Linked DNA regions of Rattus norvegicus. The protein of the gene in region 2 purifies or fractionates together with the protein of the main gene of each other region. This does not show direct contact. Links are inferred from orthologs where the notes say so. Each region holds a gene or a part of one and is shown on either strand. Other genes may lie near its edges.

Region 1 (3,649 bases), on a different chromosome or scaffold from region 2:
ACTGCAGTTTCCCACTACCCGCATGAATGCTAGCAGGGAGGAAAGTAGTGGAAGACGTAAGGAAATGCTAATGTTGCAGGTAAGAGGTGAGCAGCTATGGGAGGGTGGGTAGGAGATGGGACAAGAGCAGACGTGCTCCCTAGCATTTTGTCTGTGTATCTGTGTGATCCCCCTCTCCACCTCCCCAGCTTCCCTGAAAACCCTGAGCGGCTCCATGCCATCAAAGAGCAGCTGATCCTGGAGGGCCTCCTGGGCCGCTGTGTGTCCTTTCAGGTGACTCCTCCACAGCCTTCAAAGGGTGGGTGGGGAACTGGCAGGACCTACGCATGGCCTGCACTTTAGCCTGTTTGCCTTGTGTCTCCCCAGGCCCGGTTCGCCGAGAAGGAGGAACTGATGTTGGTTCACAGGTGAAAACATAGGAGTTGATAGAACAGGGAGGAGGATCCCCGTGCCCAACCTGGATAGACTGAATGCTTAGGAGAGAATCCCATAGACTCTGTGGCCAGCCTTGAGCAAGTCCCTGAGCCTCTCTGAATCTGCGTCATGGCTAAAATACCCAAGTTCCAGCCAAGTGTGTTGATACATGCCTATAATCAATCCATCACTTGGGATGTGAAGACAAGAGAATCAGGAAATCAAGATAGCCTCAGCTACATAGCAGGTTTAACTTGGGTTTATGAGACCCTGTCTAAAAAAAGCCTCCTAGCCCCTAAAGAAAAGAAATCTAAGTCCTTCAGGGGGATCAGTGTGTATCAGGTACCTGACAGCATCTTAAACCTGTGAAGGGCTGGTGTCATTATAATCTGGTTCATTGGCTGATGCTAGATACTTGTCAAAGTGACCAGGAGGGTCCTGGGGACTAAAGAAGCTCAAAGGAAGGAGCCTGGTACAGTGTGGCTCACAGAAGAACCAGTTTGGCAGAGAGAATATATGAGCTGAGATCCAAGAGGCAAAAAAGTGGGTGAGTCTAGGGAAGAGAAGGACTGAGGAAAGGAAGATTCAACAGAACTGTAACTATATAGCCAGAGGCCTTGAAGTACAAGTTGATGTCTTTCAACAGGGAACTAAATACATAACTGGGGATGGGGGAGGCTAGAAAGGAAGCAGGGACTGCAGCCTAAATCCCAGCTGAACCCCTCGGCTGACTGGAAGCCTGATTTGACAAGAGTTCTGGTTGTAGAAGGTATGGCTGGAAAGGGACCAGGGCTGTAAAACCTCTATCTTGTGTCTCCAGCCTGGAATACATTGATCTGATGGAGACAACCCAGTACATGAATGAAGGAGAACTTCGAGTTCTTGCAGGCACCTATGATTCCGTTTATCTGCATCCGGTATGGAGAGAACTGTGGGGTCAGGGCGTGGCAGCATCTCTGGGGTATCTCCCGTATCCATGCCAACCTCACTGTGGGAATGAGAAGCTAAATGAATAGGGCAATGCTTTCCCTCTCTCTAACTCTTTCTCTCTGGTTTCCCATGGTCTCCAGAACTCATATTCATGTGCCTGCCTAGCTACAGGCTCTGTCCTCAGGCTGGTAGATGCAGTTATGGGGGCTGAGATTCGGAATGGCATGGCCGTCATCAGGTAGGACTCTTAAGCATTTGGCTTCTTACATGTTTTCAAAAGTATATCCGGGGCAGGGATTAAAAAAAAAGTATTTCCACATAGTGGTATATAGAGGTGCATATCTGTAATACCCGGATTTTGGAGGTGGATGTCAAAGGAAGGCTTGGGAGTTCAGGGCTAGCGTCAGTTATATAAATTTGAGGCCAGCCTGGGCTATATTAAAAAAAAAGTCTTCCAAATGTAAAATGTATTAACTCGGGTACTGTGTCTTCCTGTGGTTGAAGAGTCAAGTGACACGAAGGGGGTTCAATAAAACTCTCTTTCCTCTGTGTTGGTGGATTCCTGAAAGGTGCCCATTGTCACCAGTAACTTCTGTGTCCTCTCAGCAGTAGTTTTACTCAATTAGTAAGTAATAAGTCCCACAGTTCATTGATTCAGGGGGCTATATCTGGAACATCTTGAAATCCAGATGCACCCAGCATTGCATGACATCTGAAGCTTCAGCCGGTGGCATTTTCTGTTTCGTTGTTGCCCATGGAAGGTCAGAACATCTTGCTGCAGCTGACTTCCTAGAACTGATAAAAACGTAGAAGATAGCCTTTGTCCCCTGCAGTCCCTTTTTAACCACCACGGGCAGTAAAAAAAAAAACACCCATTTGGACATCTTTGAAAGCTGTCTCTTAACAGTACTTGGCTTATACCTGAGTAAGATGCCATCGTGCATACTTTTAAGTTAGTCACTCCCATGCTGGTGGGGAGTTTGGTTTTCTTCTATCTTTGCTGCTTCAAATACCATAGCAAATACCAGTGGCACATTTCTAAGGATAGCACTTTTTATTATATAGGTCTCAGCTAAGCCTATGTAGCAAAATGACTGGCTATGAAAGAGTATGCACAGATAGCTTCTTTTTTTTTTTTTAATTTTTGAGACTGGAGCTTGCTATACATTCTAGGCAGGCCTTGAACTATAGATCCTCCTACTTCAAATTCTTTCTTTGAGTGTTAGTATTACAGGCATATGTCACAATGCCAAATGGGTGTGCAGGCACCTTTTGGTGGTTCTGTTTAGCTCTCCTTTGATGAGAGAGCGTTGTTACTCAGTTGCTAGCAGTCTTAGAGACTCTCTACTAGAAGAATTGGGAACATGGGAGAGTCCGTCTCTGTGGAGGAAGCCTCCCGAGTCTGTAGCCTTCCGTTTCCTGCCTAGGCCTCCTGGACACCATGCTCAGCGCAGTCTTATGGATGGGTATTGCATGTTCAACCACCTGGCTGTGGCTGCCCGCTATGCACAAAAGAAGCACCGCATTCAGAGGTCAGTAGCAAACGACACATGGAATGTGGGTAGCATCGAATGGGGAGGTGCTGGGGTTAGGGTGTTCCTCTGTATTTTACTCAGTCCCCTGCTCCTCTCGCCGGCTCACAGGATTCTCATCGTGGACTGGGATGTGCACCATGGTCAAGGAACACAGTTCATCTTCGACCAGGACCCCAGGTATATATCCCATGTCCCACCCTAAGTACTGGATTCTTAAGTACTGCTAACCATCAGGCCCAGCCATAGGGGCTAGGAAGCCATTCATACTCAGTTGTCCTGGAACCTGGAAGTGTACTATTTCCTTGTCATCTGCTGTCTATTAATTTCACTCTGAAGCAGGAACTGTGGTGTTCCCATTTCACAGATGGTCAAACTGAACTTTACAAGTTACAGTGTCAGGCAGTGAACGACATGGGGTTTGACTTAATATTCGGATATCTTGTTCAGCAATTTACCCCTGAGCTGGAGGGGACCTCAGATTAGTGCTTTGTTTTTTCAATTATGACAACACTTCAAACTATTCTTAAAAATTAGTCAATATACATATTGACATATGAACATACCCCCAACAACAGTTTAGGTTATAGACTCAGTTGGTATGCATATATAAATACTCATTATTATTATTAATAACATACTACCAATAGGATATTCTTTCACATGTTCACTGGCAACTAGCTCATAGAACAGTGTACTGGAGACACAGTTACTACGTTGGTGCTAGAAAAGCATTTTATCCTTTGTAAACCCTGTGAAGAGAGGTACACACC
Region 2 (4,155 bases):
AGTGAGGGCCCGGTACTGCTGGCTTCCACGGCTGGTGAGAGGGGCAAAGCCAGGCATAAAGAAGTGGAGACGCGGGAAGGGCACCATGTTGACAGCCAGCTTCCGAAGGTCGGCGTTCAGCTGGCCCGGGAAACGGAGGCAGGTGGTGACACCGCTCATGGTGGCAGAGACGAGATGGTTCAGGTCTCCGTAGGTTGGCGTGGTGAGCTTAAGGGTACGGAAGCAGATGTCGTAGAGGGCCTCGTTGTCAATGCAGTAGGTCTCATCTGTGTTCTCTACCAACTGGTGGACGGACAGGGTGGCGTTGTAGGGCTCAACCACGGTGTCAGACACTTTGGGTGAGGGCACCACGCTAAAGGTGTTCATGATGCGGTCGGGGTATTCTTCTCGAATCTTGCTGATGAGCAGGGTGCCCATGCCAGAGCCCGTGCCTCCACCCAGCGAATGGGTCAGCTGAAAGCCTTGCAGGCAGTCACAGCTCTCCGCCTCCTTCCGCACCACATCCAAGACAGAGTCAACCAGCTCAGCTCCCTCTGTGTAGTGACCCTTAGCCCAGTTGTTGCCTGCCCCAGACTGACCTGGAATGTAATAAGGGGGAAAAATTTAAAAAGCCTAATCACATATGAGAGAAACACAATACTTCTTAATCTTTCAACGTTTGAAATAATCCCACTGGGGGACACATGGGAATCCGTTCCACATAACTCACCAAAAACAAAGTTGTCCGGTCTGAAGATCTGGCCAAAAGGACCTGAGCGAACGGAGTCCATAGTCCCGGGTTCTAGATCCACTAAGATAGCTCGAGGGACATACTTGCCACCTACAAGTATTCAAGATGTTCGATCAGCGATGAAATAGCTCAAATTTGGGGTGGAGAAATCAGCCACATATCACTAAAGTTGTCATTCCAGGCACTACCACCTGGTGGCAGTAGAGCCAACCTTCAGCCCCATAAGGTGTGTGTGTAAGGGGGGAAAAATGGGAGTCTCACAGAGGGGTAACTGATACCCAAGTGTGGGAAAACAGGGTGGTGATGCTGCCTTTAAACCCAACACTTGGAAGGTAGACCGATCTATGTGAGTTCCAGGGCGGCCAGTGATGAATGGGGTCCCTGTCTCAATAGGGGGGCACGCAGAAGAATCGGGATTTCTTCCCTCACCTGTAGCTTCATTGTAGTACACAGAGATTCGGTCCAGCTGCAAGTCGCTGTCTCCGTGGTAGGTGCCGGTGGGGTCGATGCCGTGTTCATCGCTTATCACCTCCCAGAACTGCATAAGGAAGAGAGCAGTGAGGCCTCAATGGCTCAAGTCCTAAGGGATGCCGCCCGCCCCTCATTTCGATTCCAGACATGCTCAAACGAAGCTGTGGTGCAGACACTGCAATTCCGTTATCTGCTTGCGGAACCCTCTACCGAGGAGCCTACGCCCCGGAAGGTTACAACCTTAGTGGATAGGACGGATGACTGGCGATTCAAAGGGCCGGGGACTGTAAGCATCTACATGGGCGGATTGGCGCCCACCTTCTTGGCTCAGCACCTAGGTTTGGTTCCTGAAGCCAGGCACCGCCCTTCCTGGCCAGCACAAAAGAGGGTTGGGGGAGAAAGGTGCGGCCACTGCAGTCGCCCACCCCTTACGCGCTCCACGTGACTGCGGTGGCGGGCCGCTCCTCCAGCAAACCACAAAGGCGGGAGCAGTGCGGGCGGGGCCTAGCTCGAGGGGCGGGGCCAGTGCGCCCCCGCGGGCCCGGGCCGCATTGTCCCTGCGCGCCAGGGGCTCCAGCCCCGCCCCCAAGAGGGTCCCACCCTTCGGCTGCAATGTAGCGGCCGCACTTCCTCCCTCCCCCTCCCCCGCTACAGGGCAATTGCCCGCAAACGGGGGGAAAATTTTTAAAAACCCCATGGCCTCCGATCTTTATTCCCTTCCTTCTTTCTCTCTCCTTAATCTCCCCGACAGTCTCTCACATACTTGAAAAGCTCACACTTTCTGTCCGCTCACACCCTAAGACCTCTTTTAAGGGCAATGAAAAGTAAAAGTAGTGCCCTACATAGAATCATAATCTAAAAAAAGCCTTGGGAAGGCGGGTTCTATGGAGTATCCAAGCCTTTGTTGAGGTAATGCGCACCGGGGCATCTCTGCAGCTGCCCGCCAAACCTCGCCCCTTCCCCCTCCATTCTGTTCCAGTAGGGCCCTCCAGGCGGGGTGGGGGTGGCGCAAGGGGAAAACCTCGCCTCGGCTTTGTCTCGGATCGTTTCCGCATCCCTCCTGTCCTCGGACCGTTAGAAAACCCCTTTTAATACCAGTTCTTTAGAGTCCCCCAGCCTCTCCTTTTCCCCGAACTCAAAAGCGTCTCTTAATAGCTTTCCGAAGATGTGCCAAGAAAAACATTTTCTCAATATTAGAACGCTAGCTACAAATATGGGTTATATTTATACGTACAAAACTTTGAGGGGCCAAATCTGACGAGCGGAGAATGCAAACGCCCCGTTAGCATTGCTCACGATTAACACAGATATCTCATCCTTACATATTTCATCTAAAATTATAAAATTCTTACCTTAGCACCGATCTGGTTGCCACACTGTCCGGCCTGGATGTGCACGATTTCCCTCATGGCTACGGTTTACTGTAATAATCTTTTTTTGATGGTCCCAATGTAGGTACCGAGCAAAAGAAGATAATTAAGGATTTTTGGTTTTTTTCTTCTGGGCTGGTCTCAGACTGATAGGATGGAACGTAGCCCCGGAGGCTGCTGCAGAGAGATGCGAGCACGACCGCAGGAAGGTTCTAAGAGGCAGAAGAGGCCGGCGAGCGCAGGAGGGAAGGCGCGCAGGGCGGGGCGCGCGTTCGCGCGGCCGGGGGCGGGAGATGGGCGGGCGCCTCGGGTTGCAGACAAAGCCTACCCAACCAGTCGCTGATTAGACCAGCGGATCACGTGCCAGACGGCCATTGGTCTCTGAGCCAGTGGCGAGCGCAGTCCTTTTTGGGAGTTGTAGTTCTCTATTGTCCACGCTGCAAAAAGAAGTTAAAGATGGGTGGGTACTGTGGGAGGATTAGGGGGTATCGCGTGTGTGTGTGTGTGTGTGTGTGTGTGTGTGTGTGTGTGTGTGTGTGTGTGTGTGTGTGTGTGTGTGTGTGTGTGTGTGTGATTTTATTTTATTTTTCATGAAAAATGACCTCTCGATTCCTAGCCTCTATTCCTGAGAGAGGATTTTGTACGAAAAGAGGTTTGGGGAAATATAGTAATTAGATGAGATCTGAGGTGCCTGAGTTGGAAGGTGGGTTGGGCACGCCCTGCCAGCTGCCCACCGCAGAAGGTCTGGGAAGGCCAGACTGCACAGCTCAGCGGAAAATCCTGAGAACTGTGTGCTCCTTCCCTGATACACAGTGTCTAGTTCTTTGTGATCCCAAGACAGGAATGAAAGAATTGCCCTTCTGTTTCCATGGGAGGTGTCTCAGGGGTTTTCAAAAGAGAAACAAAATTGCAAGGATCATGGAGAATCTGCATGGAGCTGATGTCCCAAAAGAATGGAGGTGTGTGTAAAATCTCTGGGAGATTCGGGCCTTTAGACACTGAAGACATCCTGGTCATCTTGTCAGTATAGACTGGAGTGGACAGACTAAGAGAATGCTAGTCTTTATATAGTGCCTCCATCTCAGACACTTGCAAGGGCTTTTGTTTGTTTCTTTTTGTTTTGTTTTGTTTTGTTGGTTTTTTTGTTGTGTTTTGTTTTCCAGTTAGTTGATTTTATTCATTAGGTGAGTCTGTGGCAATGTCCTGGAACTGAGAGGGAAGATGGGAATTGAATGGGCCCAAGTCAGAGCTCGTAAGCTTTTCTTTCCAGGGTTTTGAAAAATACTAAGTATCCTCAAACCTTTAAGGAGATACAAAATGATTCATTAGAATAAGAGCAGGAGTGGTTCACACGGTTAATCCCAGAATCCTGACTAGAAGGCAAGAGAAGTTCAAGGTCAGCTTGGGCTACCTAGAGACTACCTGGACAACCTGAGGCACAGCTTTAGGTTTAATCTCTAAGTGAACAAATAGAAAGGAAAAATTAGATTGTGCCTGCCCTACCTCCCAAACAATAGAGAGGTGGAGGCAGAAAGATACTTGCACTTTGGAGGCTAACCTGATCGACAAAACAAGAGCCTGTCT

Evidence for each region.
Region 1: the proteins of Tubb5 (region 2) and Hdac6 purify together in Homo sapiens (affinity purification with mass spectrometry; 4 studies listed by BioGRID, with this or other methods). This does not show direct contact. The link is inferred for Rattus norvegicus from reciprocal best matches to the Homo sapiens genes TUBB and HDAC6.

Annotation. Positions count from the first base shown.
Region 1 is NC_086039.1:17,226,095-17,229,743, forward strand, and holds part of Hdac6 (histone deacetylase 6), read left to right. Parts: intron 1-188; coding exon 189-273; intron 274-366; coding exon 367-407; intron 408-1,234; coding exon 1,235-1,331; intron 1,332-1,484; coding exon 1,485-1,582; intron 1,583-2,771; coding exon 2,772-2,876; intron 2,877-2,987; coding exon 2,988-3,056; intron 3,057-3,649.
Region 2 is NC_086038.1:2,916,228-2,920,382, reverse strand, and holds the start of Tubb5 (tubulin beta-5 chain), read right to left. Parts: upstream 2,807-4,155; 5' UTR 2,611-2,806; coding exon 2,554-2,610; intron 1,269-2,553; coding exon 1,160-1,268; intron 821-1,159; coding exon 710-820; intron 579-709; coding exon 1-578. UniProt on the Homo sapiens protein: Tubulin is the major constituent of microtubules, a cylinder consisting of laterally associated linear protofilaments composed of alpha- and beta-tubulin heterodimers.